Xenopus tropicalis: one gene and its partners. The protein of the gene in region 3 interacts with the protein of the main gene of each other region in a pairwise test. Links are inferred from orthologs where the notes say so. Each region holds a gene or a part of one and is shown on either strand. Other genes may lie near its edges.

Region 1 (6,224 bases), on a different chromosome or scaffold from region 3:
ACAAAAAAAAAGAAATCCAAACCATTGGGAAAAAAAGCTATAATTTAAAGGGGCATTATATATAGTCTTCTTATTTTTTTTTTTTATTTTTTTTTTAATTTTACCAGGTGCACCAGTGAAGGAGGACTATGAGACTGCTATGTGCTGCTGTTAAGCTGCCTCATTTGCCAGTATTGCAAATATGGGTGATGGACCAAGGAAAGATATCTTGCCTGCCAGTGACAAATCATCTGAAATATCTTAGCATTGGTGTCAGTGTGAATCATCAGTGGTAAAACATATAAATTGTGCATCCACTGAAAATGACCTTTTCCAGCAGTTACCCGATTCATAAGTTTTGCCGCTGGGGATTCGCACTGACACCAATGCTAAGGTATCTTCAAGTTCTTGCAGGTGACAAATCTACTTTTACCCAAATATATTTATGGGCAGTATTATGAATTTATGATGTCTATGTTTTGCATAGTAACACACTATACATTATAAATTACCAGCCCGAGCATAGTATTTTAACATTATAGGGCTTAATTATGGTCGCAAGGTGCTGAGCTGGGATCAGCACTGCGACAGTCAAAATGCTATTCAGCAAAATACTTGCACTTCCTTGTACTACTTCACTGTGTACCAATATGCCAGTTGCACCTGAATTAAAGAATAGGGTACAAAGGATCTGTTTTCCAGAAATATCCAAATTGCAGAAAGGCCATCTCCCAAAGACTCCATTATAAGCAAATAATTCTAATTTTAAAAATGATTGCCTTTTTCTCTAATAATAAAACAGTAATTTATACTTGATCGTATGTAAATTGCATGAATCCAACTTGTTTTTTAGCGTTTACATCTTGCACATGCACACTCCTGTTTGCAGTCAACAATATATGTTTACCAGTGAATTGATTGCAGTTTTTGGTTCAGTAAGGCTAATGCCACACCGAGCGTATGGCGTATATTTTCAGCAAGCGGAAAAACACTTGCCGAAAATATCGCCATCCGCACAATATGTCCCCTACCTGTGCCTGCACCGGAATGAATGAGATACGCTGGGGTGCAGGTATATGTAGCCGTTATCCGCATAAAAACGCAAGACTTTGCATTCTCTCGCGTTTTTATGTGTATTTCGGCTACATGTGCCTGCACCCCAGCGTATCTCATTAATTCGGGTGCAGACACAGGTAGGAGGCGGATGGCGATATTTTCGGCAAGCGATGCCTCATCTGAAATTAGCCTAATGTTTAAATGTCCACTCTACATTCAGTTTGACCAGCATAATTGTGCTTAATACAGGGGAATACATATTATCTTATATATTAAGGGCAGTGATCCCCAACCAGTGGCTTAGAAGCAACATGTTGCTCACCAAATGTTGCTCCCAGTGGCCTCAAAGCATTTTTGAATTTCTGACTTGGAGGCATAAAGACTATGGGGCCTATATATTATGTTTAGTTAAAAGATGGCACCAAAATTTGCCATACATTGCCAGGCTTCGCCACACGAAAAACAGTGTTATTTTATGATTACTTTAAAAGTACACTTGAATGCAGTGCACCTTGAACACACATTTCAAGTGCAAAAAAATCACCAGCCATATGTAGCCTTGCGGTTTGGTGTTCAGTGGTGTATTAGGTTGGTAAATTTTGCATATACAGGTATGGGACCTGGGGTTTTCCAGATAAGGGATCTTTCTGTAATTTGGATCTCCGTTACTTAAGTCTGCTAAAAATTATTTAAAAATTGAATAAACCCAAGAGGCTTGTTTTGCCTCCAATAAGGATTTATTATATCTTAGTTGGGATCAAGTACAAGGTACTGTTTTATTAGTACAGAGAAAAAGAAAATAATTTTTAAAAATTGGAATTATTTGCTTATAATGGAGTCTATGGGCGATGGTCTTTCCGTAATTCAGAACTTTCTGGATAACGGGTTTCCGGATAAGGGATCTTATACCTGTATATATAATATGTGTGTGATGCTTTTCTTTCTCCCTTTGATCATTCACAATCCTAATTAAAAAAGATATAAAGTGTGCCTTCAGAGGTCAGAGGCACAATTTCAAGGAGGAAGAGTGTGTCCGTGAGCACCCACAGATAGTTCCTGGTGGGGAGCAAGACTGGGTTGGCAAGGATTGAGCCTACAGGGTTCACCTTTGTGCTGGATCACGACAAAGGCCAGTGCTGGCTGTTGAGACCAGATCAAAGAGCCAATGCGGTTCTTGTCCCTACAGAATTTTTTAAGCCTATACTCGGGCAAATAAGCTGCTGACTTGGCCTGAAGAGGGTCAAATCCTGTATGGTCAGCTTTAATCTGCCTATTTTCATGCAATTGTCACCTGTTAAAAGATCTCTGAAGTGTTTTTTGTTGCACTTAATGTGATCAAAAAGCTTTATATGCAGCAAAGCTAAAGAAAAAGCCTTTAGCACCAGTAGCTGAATTTAGGATAGATATTTGAAACCTTCTGCTGAAGCCATCATTATGCTCCTCTTTTGCCAACTCAGGCAGCCATTCTACAATAACATGGAAATATTTTTATCCAAGCTTAAATACTATAAATACCTGGAAAATTATTTTGATGTTTTTTTTTTATTAAGCATGAAATTTGGTAGGTTACAGTCTAGCTTTTATAAGTGCATACCAATGTAGCTTTAGTTTTAACTGCAGGGTAACCAGACATCTGGATGTCAGTCAGAAGTTGTGCATATAGCTAAATGCTATCGTTTTCAACTAAAATAATTTCAGATAAAGTAAATGAGCTCTATAACCCACTTGTGTTTTCTGGCATCATTTACCAGAAAAATTTGCTACTTAGAACTTTTGGGCATGTTTTAGCCGAACATGAGCATCATAAGTCCACACAGCTTACATAAGAAACCGATAAGGGTATTGTGAGCATATGGAACAATAGTCTGTGTAGCAGTTTATATAGTCTGGCACTTTCAGAATCCTTTATTTTTCCCAACGTTACATATTTTGTAGCTGAAGGAACCACTGTCATGGTAGTTCAGCAACTGAATGGAGTATATCTGCTTTGGTATATCTGGCAATGCCTAAATACAAACACGTATAGTTATAATAAATGTGAAAATAAATAAATATATGCTTAAGTTTAGAAGTTTTAAACATACAGTCTATTTGCTTACAATCGATTATGTTCATATAATTGTAAAGTTTAAACGGTAAGTTTACAGTTTGTGATTATGAAACCATTGGTTGAAGGTCTTTTTAGTCAACAAGTTATTCAGTGAAATAAACAACCATTTATTGGCTCAAAATTTAAACAAACAATTCAAAAAGCAAACATGCTATACCAAACAATGGAAAGGTACATCCAAGTGCCTCATGGTGCCCACTCTCCTAACGCGTTTCGCACCATTCGGTGCTTCACCAGAGGAGGTCAAGAAGGTCTTTGTATACATATGTATTGCTCCCTAATGCAATTAGTATTTGTGGAAAGCAATGAAAATGTGTATAGTAAATCTCTTGTGTATTCTTTGTCAACAATGTAAAATACATTTAGTTTTAAGGTATCCAGGATTAAGGCACATTAATAGCAATGCTTGATATTCATTGCCTTTGTAATGTTCTTTTATCTGGGGTTTTCTTGCAGGATCCCAGTTGAGTGCACAACTAGACGGCTGGCTATCACAAGCACAAACCTCAAAGAGACCTGCAAGAGCCATCATTGCCCCGTAAGTTATAACAGCTAATTATTTTCCAGTTGCCGTATTTTAAAGTCCCCTCTAACCGTTAAACGAGTAGTCCACCTTTAAATTAACTTATACTATGATGTAGACATTAATATTCTAAGGCAATTTGCATTTGATCTTCATTTTTTTTTTTTTTTTTTAAACATTTAGAATTTTTGCAGTTCTCCGGTGTTATTTTTTAGCAGCTGTCTGGTTGCTAGGGTAAGCAGTGGTTTGAATGAGGGACTGGAAAATTCAAAGGAGAGGCTTGAATAGGAAGATAAGTAATAAAAAGTACCAATAAAAGTATAATTGATCCCTCACAAAGCAATAGATATTTTGGCTGACAGGGTCAGTGACCAGTTGCACAGCTGCTAGGAATAGGACATTCTATAACATTCTAAAAAGTTTACTTTAAGGTAAACCACCCCTTTTAATGAAAACTTCTGTGATATGGCTTATATTGAGTGTTTTAATAATGCACATATTATGTCAGTTTAGTTGAATGCCACATGAGAGGGTTTCTCAGCCTTAACATTAGAATATAGAGCAGAAGTGTCTGTGTTTTATATGGACTGACTGTTCTGGTGGACAACTGGGAGCTGGAGTTCAGTCACATCTCGAGGGCCTCAGTCTGCCCATCCTGGTTTTTAAGTGAATGTGTCATTTAGCACATTTTTTTTATATGCATATCATATTTTTATTTCCAACAGTTAACCTTAATAAATGTATCTACTTGTTTTATTAATAATTCCAATTAGTTTTATATGAGTGCACGGCCCTTGCTTTTAATTCATTCGTTGTAAGTCTGTTTCACCGTATTAGATGTTTTGTGATTATTTTAAAATTAACTGCAGTAACTGATGACATTGGTCTAAAGGACAAAGAGCCAGCATATTATATTACTTTTTTTGTTTGGATATGGGTCATCATTTTGTAAATGTATTATTATTTTAAATTGCAGTCATGCAGGATACACTTATTGCGGGTCATGTGCTGCTCATGCCTATAAACAAGTAGACCCTTCAGTCACGTAAGTATATTGTATCTTAAGATAATTTAATATAATAGGTCATTGATAAACTAATACAGGTATGGTACCTGTTATCCAGAATGCATGGGACCTGGGGTTTTTCACATAAGGGGTCTTTAATTAAACCCAATAGGAATATTTTGCCTCCAGTAAGGATTAATTATATCTTAGCTGGGATCAATTACAAGGTACTGTTTTATCATTACAGAGAAAATGAAAATCATTTTTAAAAATGTGAATTATTTGATTAAAATACACTCTCTGGGAGATTGCTTTTCTGTAATTTGGAGCTTTCCGGATAACTGGTTTCCAGATAATGGATCCCATACCGAGCAATTATTTATTTGGTAGAGTCACCGTGGCACTGTGAACGCTACAGTTTAGCAACAGCCTAACAGTGATAAAATTGTCTGGATTCCCATTGCGTACACCAGCAAACCCCTTATGCCCACGATTTTCATGGTGTGCATTTTAACGCTGCTGTAATATAAGAGGTATCTACATTCATACTTTGTATAAAGAGTTACCATACAAATAAATAAAATAATATACAGCACACAGACATGTTCTAAAATAAAAGTGCTGCATCATAACCTTCACTAGAACAGGAAACACATAAAAACAAACACTAAACAAAAAGAAGCACAGCAGGTAGTATTTAGCTTTTTGGCAGATCTCGCGTTTCGCACAGCAGGAGTTCTGCACGTCTTAGACACAGAACATGGCTGGTGTGTTTTTAACTTCAAGCTAATTTTATTTTGTGTCCAATTCCATCTGTCCACAGGAAGGTTAGGTTGCCATTTTCTTCAGTTGTGTGTGTATTTTACTGCTCCATTTTTGCTGAGCAAGATACGCAGACTTGCAAGGTTAAACTGAAGTGAACTGGTAGAGAGTTTTTTCTCATTTTAATTATATAGATATATAAAGTAGTCCAGTGGGTGCACACCACATACAACAACAAAACCTGGGTGGCACAACAATTAAAACATACAGGGCCAAGGACAGCACTTATAGGATTGCCAACAGCATAAATGATTTTGTGGCACAAGTAGTGATACCAGCAATACCCAGTGTAATTATTGAGCAGATATGCACCTGTATTTTAAGTCACAAAACATAAAAATAAACAGCAAAAGAGACTTTCCCACTGGTAGTCTGAATACAGAAACCTGCTATTTGAAGATGCTTCAGCTACTTAGGGCAACTTAGTCCAGAAGAAGTAAAAATATTTACTTCACAGTTTGTTTAGATTTTCTTCTCAGATACGTCATCTGCACTGGCTTACAGTACTTCCTGATGCCTAGTTCTGGACAGAGAGCTCACCATTGCTCCACCCCTTTACACAGGGGGTGATTTACCAATACCAACACCTCTACTGGCTTTTGCAGCTTTGGTGAAGACCACCCATGTTATTTTCCATATTCACACTCTCATCGAGCATTTTGGGAGAGAGATACCTTAATATATATAAGGGCAGTCCATAGTAAAGGTATAGGACCAGAATGCTCCGG
Region 2 (6,797 bases), on a different chromosome or scaffold from region 3:
ATTCCCACTATTGTTATCAGATCACATGAAAAATATGCACATTTTTAATAAATCCAAATTGTTAGGGCTGTTTATTTGCAAAGTGATTGCATTTTAATTAATGCAGCTGGATGTTCCTGACTTGTCTCTGATTTTTCAACTTTAGGTCTTCTAAGGTAAAGACCTACATTTTTTCATCTGTGCATTTCTTTGCAGCAAAAGATACTATCCTTTATTTTGTGCAATAGAAAATGGAGAGAGGTGCTGCAGGGGTTGCTTCCTCCTTAGGCAGCAGGGCTGATGTTCCTTCCCCAACCACCCTCACTCTTTTTACTTTTGTGCATTGCTTCCCCTGGTAGCCTGCCATACACTGCCATTGGTTGGCAAGTTTCTCACATATTAGGCACCCACTCCTAGTAAGTATAATTACTAACTTTCAAACCCAAGCCAGTGCTCCTCCAGCCTGGAGTACATTCCCTGTAAGTGCCGCCATCTTTTATCAGTCTTCCAGGATTTTTTAAAACCCTGCTTCATCTTCAGTAAACCTTCATCTAAATAAATGGTACAATCCAAAAGTTACGAAATTTTCGTATCCGAACGAAACAATCCGGCGCAAAAAACTTTCTGACTTTGAACCTTCAATGCATGATTTTGGAAGCCTCCCACAGGACTCAATGGCACTCTGCAGCTTGAATGAATTTCAAAACTTTTGTAGTCGTTGCGATAATTTCGATTTTGTCTCACAAATTTATTCAAAGCACAAAAAAGTTGCGGAAATTAACAAAAATATTGTGGAAAATACACAAAGTTCTATAAATTAGAAAAAATACAAATTTTTTGTAATCGTACCCATTCAGACTTTGATAAATCTGCCCCAGTGTGTTCACATACTTTTTTTGTGTGCGCCACAATTTGTTGTGTGTGTAGGGCTTAAAATGTATGTGTGGATCCTCCTCCAGCTCTAGGTAATTTTAATAAACCAAGTGCATTTTTCATTTTAAATATTTTTATTCAAATAAAAAATCTTAATGTATAGCCAATGCATAGGGAAATGTAAAGGGAGTGATTCTTATTTTAAGGGGAACACCTTTTATTCTGGTTCTCAAAATTATTGTCCAGCAGTGCTAGCAGGAACTTTGTATATAAATAAAATAGAGCAATTGAGTAAGTAGAATGAAGGATCCAGCCAATTTAATGCAGTTGCCTAATTTGCTGCCACTAAAATTGTTTACAACATTTGTGGAGGAAGTAGTGCTAGGTAAGGCTGACATAACTGAGTTCATTCTAGTGTAAGACTGTGGAAGCAGTTTGAAAAGCATCTTTTTGGAATTCATAAACTACTTTTGCAATATCTGTAAAGTCTTTAGTAGGTTTCAACCATACAAGATGTTAAATCTCGCCCTGTAATACACCAGCTAAAATGACATTTTCCTGAGAATCATCTTCCATTTTAACGGATATAGGCAAAGCTGAAAACATTTACATAAGCTTGGGGTGCAGAACTATTTGGGCTTCTCTTTTTAAATACTTTTTTCCCCTTGTTTTTATTCTTCACCTGATTAAAGCAAGCGGAGTACTGAAAGGATTTGATCCACTGCTGAATCTTGTACTGGATGGCACAATAGAATATATGAGAGGTAAGTACTAAAAATTCATAAAGCTTTCATATACATAGGATGCACTTCAAATTTGTATGCATTGTTTTGCTATTTGACTGGAGGCGGCACATGGAATAATTGTGTTGGGTTGAAAACCCCAACATACTGTTCTTCGACTTTGGCTTATTCTTCCACTTCTTCTTCTTTTTAGCGCCCCCCATTTTCTAAACGCTACTCCTCTTACAGTTTTAGGGGTACAACAACCAAACTCTCCACACTTCTTCGCCCTATAGCAGAGCAGGTTGCTTGTGCTTTTTTTATGCGTTCCCGCCCCCCGTCTTTTTGTGGCGCCCCTCCGAACACCCCAATGATTGCTGAATGCCCAAAAGTGGGCGGAGCTGTGAACAGCCAATCAGATTTTACCTATTGACTTGGTGGAAATTCAACCTTGCTGTTCAGAAAAAAAGTGGGCGGAGCCACCAACAGCCAATAACATTTCACCTATTTACTTTCAACTGTGAAGTGTAAAATGCTGTCAGTCTCACAATTTTTATGCCAGAGTCCCCAAAATTTGCAAAGTTGGTCACTGGGGGACTGCAGTTTAAAAATAGGAAAAGTGGGTTGGGCCACTAACGGCCAATCAGATTTCATCCTTTGAGTTTTATTGGTTTAAATTTAAAATGCTGTCATTCTCACACTATTTATGCCACAGTGCCCACTCTTTGTCACTGAGTGACTTCGACTCAAGGTTAGAAAAAGGGGGCGGGGTCACCAACCACCAATCACAATTCACCTATTGACTTTTATTGGTTTAAACTTTAACTGCTGCCGTTCTTTAACTATTAATCCTAAACTAAACTTTGCAGAGTTAGTCACTGGGTAGCTGCAGTTCCAGGTTAGAAAAAGGGGGTGGAGCCACCAACCGCCAATCAGATGTCACTCGTTGACTTTCAGTGGGGAAATTTAAGTTGCTGCCATTCAGACACTATTAAGCCAGGGTCCCCAAACTTTGCACAGTGGTTTTTATTGTATAACTGTGATCCAAGGTTAGAGAAAGTGGGCAGAGCCCATTCAGTGACTTCATGTTTTTCAACCCAACATGAAGTTTGTTCTCAAACTTCCCTTTCTAGTTTAGTCTTTTAATTTAAAATGTGCTGACATGAAACAATATGTCAAAATATGCATATTAAAGGAAATCTATTCTGCAAAACACCGTAGGTCTCTCTAAAATATGTTGCATGAAACCTGCCATTTTAAAAATGAAGGGCCGCCTCTTGGGATCATAGGATTCATGTTGCACACATACCAAAGCACACGTGCATACTAGGTTACATTAGCCAATCAATGGACAGAACTGTGACTTCTTCATGTTTCAGATAGAGCTGCATTATTTCTGTTCATGTAATCTCTATGGGAGCCCACAGCCCATCACAAAATTGTGGCTCAAGGTAAAAGTGACCTATTAAAGAATCTTGCTAAACTAGAATATGCCCTAACTGATATAAACTGTTTAAGTATTTATTTTGTGGGTATGGTTTTCCATTTAAATCATAGCCTAAACTTGACCTTTCCAATTATTTTTTTAAATTTTACCCCACCACTCCTTCCATCTATGGATTGTGGGTGTTCTGTTACTGCATAATTCAGTCTTTATAATTGGAACAGGTAAGGGATTTCTTGTCGAATAATTAAAGGCTTCAAGTGGCAAAACAATCCTATTTTGTTTATTTTGTGTTTCAATTTTTTTTGGCAGACTTAAGGTATAATAGATCCAATACCTGTAGTATTTAATATAGTAAATTAGGTTAAAAAGACACCAGTCCATCAAGTTTAACTTTATATGCCTATATGTAACCTGCCTAACTGCTAGTTGATCCAGAGGAAAGCAAAATAAACCTTTTGAAGCTTTTCATTTGCTGCGGAGGGGGAAAAAATCCTTCCTGGTTCCAAGAAGGCAATCAGACCATTGTATTCCCTTACTTGCTAAAATGCCAACCAACCCCTTCTTGAAGCTATCTCTCAGTCAGTGCGACTAATTCAGGGAGTGAATTACACAACTTCACAGCTCTCGGTTAAAGAACAAAAAAAACCCTTTCAGAGTATCTAGACGGAACCTACTTTTTTCTAATTGGAATGGGTGCCCTTGTGTTAGTTGGAAGAACCTACTGGTGAATAAAACGTTCGAGAGATTATATGACCCCTGAAGTGCCTATTTTCCAGGGTAAACCATCCCAACCTGGCTAGTCTTCATAACTACGTCTATCCATATCCTTTACCAGCTACGTTGCCCTTCTCTGGGTCCTCTCTAACATAATAATGTCCCATTTGAGCAATGGAGACCAAAACTTCTATTAGGGCCTTACCAGCGCTTTGTAAAGCAGAAGAATAACCCCTTCCTCTCACAATTCTATGTCCCTTTTAATACAGCTCAAAACCTTGTTTGCCCTTGCTTGCCACAGCCAAGTTATTACCTACAAGGACTTAAAGGTCCTTTTCCATTATGGATTTGTGTAGTGCAATTCAATTAATGCATATTTTTGCATCCCAGGTGCAGGACTTTGAATTTATCAACATTGAATCTCTCTGCCACTGAGCCCCCCAGTTTGTCACAATCCTGCTGCAAGGATCCTGGATAGAATTAATTGGGCTGCAGAATTTTGTGTCATCTGCAAACACTGATACATCACTTATAATACCTTCTCCTAAGTCATTAATGAACAAGTTAAATAATAGTGGACCCAACACAGAACCCTGTGGGACCACACTAAGAACCTTACTCCAAGTAGAGAATGTACCATTAACAGCCACCCTCTGTACCTGTTCAGAAAGCCATTATGGTTAAAGTATATAACGTTTATTTTACATTTTCGGCTTGTTAATTTGCTGTACCTTGTATGTTTTAGAAATGGTTTAAGTTGAAGTTTTTAGAACTTTTGTGAATTGTCACTTGTTCTATTAAAACATGTCTTTTTCTCTTTAGATCCAGATGACCAGTATAAATTAACAGAGGACACACGGCAGCTGGGGCTGGTAGTCTGCAGAGGAACATCTGTAGTGCTGATTTGTCCACAGGATGGCATGGAGGCAATCCCAAACCCTTTTGTTCAACAACAAGAGGGTTAATGAACAATATTAAATTTCTTCTCCCATATTTCTTTGTTAGAAAGAATAACTTCAAGTTGAAGATTGTGGAGTACTGAATTTGTTTTGTTTATTTTATATAGAACATTTTTTTTTTTTTTTTTTTTAAAGGCAGAGAGATGCTATTTTAGCAGAGCCAGCGTATTCCATATATTTCAAATATACTGATTATTTCATTGGAACCTTTTCTGTGTGTATTTCTATTATTTTTTATGTGAGCAACCATGAAGACTTCAGATGAAGTTCTACAAAGTGGTGAATCTCCAGCGGATAGTTTTGCACCGCTTACCTGGCAATTCATTTTTTGCAACAGTCACTGTGCCATTTGTTTTAGAGTGCTTTTGTTTATTGCAATGTTTTTTTGCTAGCCCTGTATGTTATAACCTTTTTAACCCCTTTTATGAAAAATCTTCAGTACGTGAGCAGGGGTTCAATATATGGGGCTCAAACCACTCGCATATATTGTGTAGGTCAACAAATTTATTCCACCTCTTTTAATAATTGTAGGGGCATTTTTTATGATTGCTCAAGCCTTTCAGCTCAAGCAATCATAAAGGGTGCAAACACACAAAGCTACTTAGTTGCATCTACTTGTCACAGCTACTAAACACCAGAAAATACCCTGCCATAGACAATACTGAGAACTGCCTCTGCTAAAACACACATAGAGACAGTTCTCAGTAAATGATCAGCATTGTTTTATTTTGGTGGCCGTGACAAGTAGCTGCTACTAGTGTGTTTAGCCGCTTAATGGGATCACTTGTAGTAAAGGCTGCAAATGGACTGTAGTAACAGTACTGCCATTACATTTTACGAAAGCCAATTGTAATATAGGAACTATTTCCTGGTTAAGTTAATTTGGACCAATTTAGATTCCTCCAGGCCTGATTTTAAGGCCTGGTGGTTTTCAGTTTTCTTGATGCTTATAATTTTCTTTCTCCCTAAGGAGGTATTTGGCTATGTCAGTAGCTCCTTTGGACACTTTGTTGCCTATAGCGATTTCATTAATCAAAGCTCCACAGGCTTACAGGCTTCCCAGAGTGTTTTGGGGGGATGCTGTTTTGTAACTAGTGGCCCAATAATTAGCATATTCCTTCTGCATGCAATTTCAGACTTATGAAATACATTAATTTGGTCGCCCCTTGAGCCAGTTTGAATAGACAATTTGAATAGAGTTAAACACCATATCTATATGAGGGATGGATACAGTGTTTACTTTTGTCTGGATGGTTTCACCTTCTCAATCCAAACTAAGGCTAAGAGACTTAGGTTATGACCATTTGTATGACATCCTGCCCAACAAGGAGACCCGTCTAGCTTGATAGGTATGGGTGACTCAGTACCTTAAATTTTAAATTAATGCCCCAGATGGTGTTCCAGAAGATAATTGCTATGGTTTGCATGTTATAAGGTTAGGGATATAAATAGGCCTCTTAAGATATTGGACCATTCGTCTAAGCATTGCCTGGCAGGGCTATTCCTTGAAGTTCAATGGGGCGAGTGACCCTCCTAACAGTTTTCCACATCCTCTGATGTAACAAAGAAATAAGACTGCACCAGGAGGTGGTGTCTCTAATTAGCATGGGTATGAAGATTTGTAAGTACAACCCTACCTGTCAGTTCAGGACAACTGGGGGTTAAGTTGTTCTTCTCTGGAGGAACTGAAATAATACTTCTTCAGTCTCCTTCCTTTGATTCTCCACCTCTTCCTCGCATTTTCCAGTCTGTCCTGCCTGGGAGGCAGCAACTTTTGCTTCTCCTGTAATATCGTTATTCTACAGGTTCCTACCCTGGTGTAGTCCTTATATAGTGTGCAACCAGGTTCCATCAGACTTGTACATTGTATCAAGGCAGCATTCCCTAGTCTGCTCCTGGGTAATCTCATTGCAAAACCATGCTTACTATTGGGCCATGTCCCTCCTTGTGCGTTTGCGGAGAGGTTGAGCCCTAGTTAAAGGGCAGGTAAGCACTTCACAGCTATGTGCTCCTTCAGTTGAGCACCTGTATTTCCACCCATGATAGTATAATAGCAGTGCTTCCTCTAGGTTGAGCCCGGCATGGTGTTCATGCTTATCAAAC
Region 3 (6,979 bases):
ATTGGAATCGTTATTAGTGAGACTGGGGCTACAGTGCGCATTCCTCCTCCTCCGTGAGAAGCTTAATCCTAACCCTCATAAATATTTATCTTATGTTTTTATGCAGAAGTGAAATATTTGGCATCCCTGTGCTGTTGTTAGCTGGCTGAGGAGGAACTGGAAGTTCTGCCCAAGCACTGCCTTGTTGTGTAATAAATTAGCCTTACAGGGGGAAGCCAGGAGCCACTTACAGAATGGCTATACAGAAAGTGATGGAAAGGCGATTTATATGCCCCTAAGAAATATACCTTAATACCATTATTCTTATTAGCTTATTAAAAAGGCACTGTGTTAGAAAGAAGGCTGACTTTAAAGGGAAAGTTCGATTTACATTTATTTACCAACAGTTACTATTAGCTGTAGGCCCGTATATTCACCTGGGCAAGTGCCCCTTGCTAGTGATGCACATATGCACAGAGGGTGGCACTGGATTTTATTTGGCTCCATGGGTGGGGGCCACCCACTTTGCTCTTCCCTACCTGATAGTGCCAATATCTGCCACTGGCAATGGGTCTGACTACATGTGAAAGGGAATCCGTTGGGAATGTAAGCACAGTAAGTCTCCATGAGAGGCTCACAGTAGTCAAACGGCATATGCCCTAGGCCCACAGTCACCGTTTATTCACGACTTATTCCTCTACCCAGGCCCTCATATACCATATATCTTCCACTCCACTGGTCCAGATTGGGTACCAACAGGCACAGGTTGGGCCAGGGACTGAATAGCACAGGATGGACCAGGCACTGGCTAGCAGGGCCACCATCAGAAACTTTGGGACCCAGCGCAAGTTATTTATATAGGGCCCCGCAGGAACACACAATTTTTTTTGAAGCCCAACATTTTTGCCGTTTTGGGAAACTTTTGAAAGGTTTGCAAATTTTTTTGGTGAAGCGAAACAGGACAGATTCATTCAGTCAGTACATTGGGGGCAGTGAAATTTACTTTATGTTGTTAATTAACTGGGGGTCAGTGCAGCTTCTCTGCATTGTCTTTCATTTGATACACAGGTTAGGTTTCAGGGCAAGTTTCTTGGCAGTCTTTGCCAAAGTTACACAAGTTTTGGCGTAACTTTACGTTTTTGCAGTAATTATGCAAGTTTTGATGTAACTTTATACGTAACTTGCGCACTGTGACCAGGCCCCCACACAATTGTACCCCCTTTCCCACCCTGATGGTGGCCCTGCTGGGAAGCAGGGGCTGAGCCAGAAACTGGTTAGTAGTAGAGGAAGGACTGGGTACCAACTGGCATAGGCTGAGCCAAGGAATGTCTGAGACGCAGAACAGAATGGACGGGATTCTGACAGCCTTAAACCTGACTGTATGTATTAATATAAGATACAAGTCCAATACCCTTGGATTACAATAATTTCTACTGCAATTGGGGCCCAGCCTTCTTGCCCCCACCACCTCTGCCTCTATCCCATCCATCTGCCCTTTGCCCTCGCCACTGACAAGTGATCCTGTGGCATCAAAGAACTGCATGGGGTTTATATTGAGCCCCCCATAACTCATGTCCAGGCAGGTCACTGCTAAGCCTATGGCAGGCACTGATAGGGTTACTGGATCATGTGGCACATCTAGAAAATCCAGCTAGCAGGGTTGCACTTATTAAAATATAATTTAAATGCAATCAGAGCAGCCATAAAACATGAATGTATTAGACAGGTCACTGAATTTTCAATTGATCCGGTAACTCCACATCAGCTCCAGTTACTGCACCATCTACCATTATTCATTTACTAACCAAGTGCATCCAATCAGCTTGAAAATGTCTTTTACATGTTGGATAAAGGAAAGCAAGTATCAGATTGGTTGCTATGGGCAACTGCTCTGGTGCAATTTAGCACCTGTAAATCAGCCCTTTCATCTGACACTTTTAAGATGCCGATATTTCCACAGTGCTGACAATCAAAGTTCTCAGTGGGGAGGGGCCATGTGTTTCTGGCGAATCAGGTAATGTAAAAGGGATGTTATTTGTTTAGGAAGTGAAACCCACAACTGCACTGACTGTTGTTACTCCCCAATGAGGCGTTAGCTGCCAGCGACATTTCCTGCTGCCTGTACAGCATGTGTCATTCAGTGCTGAGTGTAGAGACTTGGCACCACTATACAGAGCAGCCTGGTCATTATCAGCGTATAGAGATACTCAGCATCATTATACAGAGCAGCCTGGTCATTATCAGCGTATAGAGATACTCAGCATCATTATACAGAGTAGCCTGGTCATTATCAGCGTATAGAGATACTCAGCATCATTATACAGAGTAGCCTGGTCATTATCAGTGTATAGAGATACTCAGCATCATTATACAGAGCAGCCTGGTCATTATCAGTGTATAGAGATACTCAGCATCATTATACAGAGCAGCCTGGTCATTATCAGTGTATAGAGATACTCAGCATCATTATACAGCACAGCCTGGTCATTATCAGTGTATAGAGATACTCAGCATCATTATACAGAGCAGCCTGGTCATTATCAGCGTATAGAGATACTCAGCATCATTATACAGAGTAGCCTGGTCATTATCAGCGTATAGAGATACTCAGCATAATTATACAAAGCAGCCTGGTCATTATCAGTGTATAGAGATACTCAGCATCATTATACAGCACAGCTTGGTCATTATCAGCGTATAGAGATACTCAGCATCATTATACAGAGCAGCCTGGTCATTATCAGTGTATAGAGATACTCAGATCATTATACAGAGCAGCCTGGTCATTATCAGCGTATAGAGATACTCAGCATCATTATACAGAGCAGCCTGGTCATTATCAGCATATAGAGATACTCATCATCATTATACAGAGCAGCCTGGTCATTATCAGTGTATAGAGATACTCAGCATCATTATACAGAGCAGCCTGGTCATTATCAGCGTATAGAGATACTCAGCATCATTATACAGAGCAGCCTGGTCATTATCAGCGTATAGAGATACTCAGCATCATTATACAGAGCAGCCTGGTCAGTATTACTATACAGCCCAGCCTGTTTATCACCATTATATAGAGATATATGACTATACATTGCAGCATGATGGCTGAAAATGAAGGCATAATAAGAGATCCACCTGTGGCTTAGTACTACTGTATAACTACAGTTCCCAGAAGCCCCTGTTAGCCCTATGCAGCACCAGGCGGTTATGTATCAGCTGATTGAGATGCGCAGCGCTAGCTCCATAGCCAGTCAGTAACTGGGCACCCACCCTGGCACTGCCCATTGCACTCACCCAGACTCCTGGGACGGGTCCTCCTCTCCCTCCGGCCCCCCTCCGCCTCCCCGTACCGCGGACCAGGTCCACTTTGCCCACTGCACCGGTGACAGCACTTGCCAGGGGCTGAACGACATCGCTGCAGTGGTTTGACCCAGAAAACTTCTGTCTCACCGGATAACCAGTCCCCCCTCCTGTGTGGATGGCACAGCCCGGGCCAAGGTAACCTAGGTAACCCAGAATCCCACCCGGTGCCGCTCACATCTGGAAGCTACCGGCCCTTCGATCCTACCGGGCTGCAGCCAGTGCCCGAATGTGCCTGCAGGGCCGGGAATCAGCTGTGTGTATCCAAGCGCTCCCCCTGCCGGTCATACTGCGTCACTGCACCGAGCGATCAAAGCCCACGCCGCAGCTGTAGCGCTCATGAGTCACAACTGAGCGGCCCCCCGGCAACAGCAGCAGGTTGGTAGCTTCCGCGCATTACAGCCCTGCTGCCTGGGGGCGCTACAATGGTGGGCTCTACATGCTGCCTAAGCAATGGCTCACTGCTAACGCGGTGCATGATGGTGCCCAGGACATGGGGCAGCCAGTGCAGCAATGCCAACTTATTGTTATGGTGCCCAGTCACCAGGTGGCAGCTAACCCCTGGGGCACATTGGGACTCCACAACCTGCCTCAGAAACCAGCAATTCATTTTGATGCATGCTGCAGGCTACACTTCTGCCTGCACAGCCATGCCATTAACTGTCTAAATGATTTGCTAATTAGACTGGGATCTGCTCTCCTTTAGTTTAAAGGGGAAGGTTTGTACCCCAGAGTGGAACCACACCTTGCCTTCAGATCTCTGCTCCATCTGGTATATTAGCATTTGGCAACAGCTGAAGGCTCTCAGGGGATGCTGGGAGTTGCTGTGCAGTGTACTTAGTGCCAGTGCCCCACCCATGCTCATGTTTGTGGGGTGCCCTGACAGCCAGCTATCAGCTGAGTCCCCCCTCCCCTTCAAACAGACTCTGCCACTGCAGAGAGGAGGGTTCCACAACCCCCCCCACACACACACACACACATACATACGCACACACACAAACACACACATCAAAGTGAACAAGTTTGTGCTCTCCTCCCCTCTTGGCTGGGATAGTTCAGCGGCAGCAACACAGAGAACAAACAAGGAGGAGAGTGAGTGCAGGAGGAACAAAGGGATCTCCTGGCTGTGCAGCTGCCCATGGGCCCCCCCCCCCCAGGCTTCCTGCTAACCAGCTGCACTCACCCCACTTCCACTTTTTGTGTATTGTTTGGGCATTTAACCCTTTCTGCTCTGGATTCATTATGGGGAACTTGTTGCAGCTACAAGGAGTCACACACAAAAAAATTGGCCTGGTCTATGGCTAAAGGTGGCCATACACGTAAAGATCCACTCGCCTGGCAAGGTCGCCAAGCGAGCGGATCTTCTCCCGATATCCCCACCTACGGGTGGGCAATATTGGGTGAATTCAGGCCAAATTTTTTAACCTGCCTGTCAAGAACACGCATGACACTGCCCTATCGATATCTGGCCGATTTCAGGCCAGATGTTGGTCGGGTAGGCCTGTCGTTTGTGCCCCTACACAGGCCGATAAGCTGCTGAATCGGTTCTAAGGGACCTATATCAGAAGCTACAATCGGCCTGTGTATGGGGACCTTAAGCAGTGCCCAAGTATGTGCCATAAAGGTGTAAGTATAGAGGGAACAGACCCTGCAAGTGCTCAGGGACCCAGAAGCCATATAGGGGCTCAGTGGGGCACTGACTGATAAGCAGATTTAATAAATGTCTATGCCAGATGTATTATTCCCAAAGCATAGGGGGCCTTAAATGAATTTACCCATACCCATAACTTCTGCCTGTGCCACTGGGTGAGCCTTTCCCATGTGTGCTTCGAGGCAAGAGAAAGCATGGAGTCTGTCTCGGGGCGACACTTTCCCACCCAGTGCCAGGGAGAATGCCCAACATCACTATGTGCCAAAGCCATATGAGCTGCAGGGATGTGCCTGGTCTTATCCATTAGTGCCCCCTATCAGAGGGGGTGGTCTGTTCCGCTTGGTTGTGTCACTAAGGGACCTGAGCAGGGAAGCTGCAAGAGCATAAAGGGAAAATGGGGATTATCTCCTTTTTGAGTAAAGAATGGCCATAGAGCTTATAGTGTGCCCACAGCATTCCCTTTCTTCCTTATTTGCATTTGTATGTGACTGGGGGATGCCATGCTGGTTGCCCCTGCGGAGACATTCTCGGTCGACAACCATAGCAAAAGTTCTTTATGAGCCTGTGGGACCTTGTTGTTATTGAATTCTATAGAAAATAACTGAATAGCCAAAACAGCCCATTCCCTTGAATGTCCTGCCTAAAGCCAATGCCACACGTAGCGTATTCTTGGCAAGCCGACAACCTCTTGGTGAGAAAACTCCAAGGTAGATGTACCTATATTTTACTCGGGGGGGGGTTTAAGCAGGTGGCCCCTGAGGGGTGTGAGGGCCCCAGGGTGGGACCCCCGGTGGGCCCTGCACCCCCCAGTGCAACCCTGCAATCATACATACTATGCCACAATTACTCTCCCTCTCACTGCCTATTTATTATGCTGTGTAAGATTAATTCGCCCAAAAATCGGTGCAAAAAGCTGTGTAAAATAAATGGATTATTCCAAACGCCAAGTTTTACACCATTATTTTACGGAAGTTCCGGCAGAAGAAAAAACACCTAAAAAAATTACACCTTTGTTTACATGATAAAGCTTGGCCATGTTGCCATTTTTTTGCCATTTTTTTACACAGTATAATAAATCCCCCCTTAATCTCTATCCCTAGGGCCCCAGTTACTGATCTCCCAACACCTGCAGAGCCTATGAGAGCAGCGATGTTCCACACAAGTCTGTGCAGCAGTCAGGCAGGCAGGGGGGGCCATAAAGGAATTCTTGGAGAGGAGATGCAGCCCCCAGGCCCCCAGTTGGACGGCCCAGTACTGAACGCTTCCCTGTATGAGAACAACATGTTTGTCATCACTCAGCCCCTGTGAGGGAGGAAATAAACACATCCTGTCAGTGGGAGATGGTTCCGGTGATATTATGCTGCAGCCTACACCGGGGAGCCAACCTGCTATGGAACAGGGGTGTACGGCATACTCTGACAGTAAAAGGTAGTTTGGGGGGGCTTGTGGGAGTTGTAGTTCAATAGAAGCCAGAGGGTTGCTGTTTGGACATCCCTGACCCACACTATGTACAATAATTAGCAAAACGATTAGGGTGTTAAAGGGAAAGTATTCCCAATTATAGGTATGTATTATAGCAAACAAGAGCTCACCCCAAACCTTACCCTAAGTGACCCACAGGCTGGATTTCCAGAAGGATCTACAGGATCAAATGGGCATTCTACCCAGATCTCACTCTTAGGGGTGTATTTATAAACGCCAGTGATGTTGCCCATAGCAACCAATCAGATCTTTGCTCTTGTTTTATAATTTGTAGGTGAGTGTTCAATTTTAATTGCTGATTGGTTGCTATGGGCAACATCGCTGGTGATGTTGACTTACACACTATAATGAATATGCCCCTTATTGTATTAAAGCTGGCCATACACATGGCGATCCTACGATGTTTCGTACGACCATCGGTCGCACGAAACATCGTAAGATCCGCCACACACCATTCAGGGCTGAATCGGCAGGTAAGGAGGTAGAAACAATAGGATTTCTACC

The links. The genes of interacting proteins can lie anywhere in the genome.
Region 1: the proteins of tacc1 (region 3) and memo1 interact in binary tests that used the Homo sapiens proteins (3 or more experiments, as listed by UniProt). The two-hybrid records come from large-scale screens. The link is inferred for Xenopus tropicalis from reciprocal best matches to the Homo sapiens genes TACC1 and MEMO1.
Region 2: the proteins of tacc1 (region 3) and lsm7 interact in binary tests that used the Homo sapiens proteins (3 or more experiments, as listed by UniProt). The link is inferred for Xenopus tropicalis from reciprocal best matches to the Homo sapiens genes TACC1 and LSM7.

Annotation. Positions count from the first base shown.
Region 1 is NC_030681.2:51,202,943-51,209,166, forward strand, and holds part of memo1 (protein MEMO1), read left to right. Parts: intron 1-3,601; coding exon 3,602-3,683; intron 3,684-4,644; coding exon 4,645-4,713; intron 4,714-6,224. UniProt on the Homo sapiens protein: May control cell migration by relaying extracellular chemotactic signals to the microtubule cytoskeleton. Mediator of ERBB2 signaling.
Region 2 is NC_030677.2:92,736,832-92,743,628, reverse strand, and holds the end of lsm7 (U6 snRNA-associated Sm-like protein LSm7), read left to right. Parts: intron 1-1,544; coding exon 1,545-1,616; intron 1,617-4,557; coding exon 4,558-4,700; 3' UTR 4,701-4,900; downstream 4,901-6,797. UniProt on the Homo sapiens protein: Plays a role in pre-mRNA splicing as component of the U4/U6-U5 tri-snRNP complex that is involved in spliceosome assembly, and as component of the precatalytic spliceosome (spliceosome B complex).
Region 3 is NC_030679.2:132,041,489-132,048,467, forward strand, and holds the start of tacc1 (transforming acidic coiled-coil-containing protein 1), read right to left. Parts: upstream 3,684-6,979; 5' UTR 3,396-3,683; coding exon 3,277-3,395; intron 1-3,276. UniProt on the Homo sapiens protein: Involved in transcription regulation induced by nuclear receptors, including in T3 thyroid hormone and all-trans retinoic acid pathways. Might promote the nuclear localization of the receptors.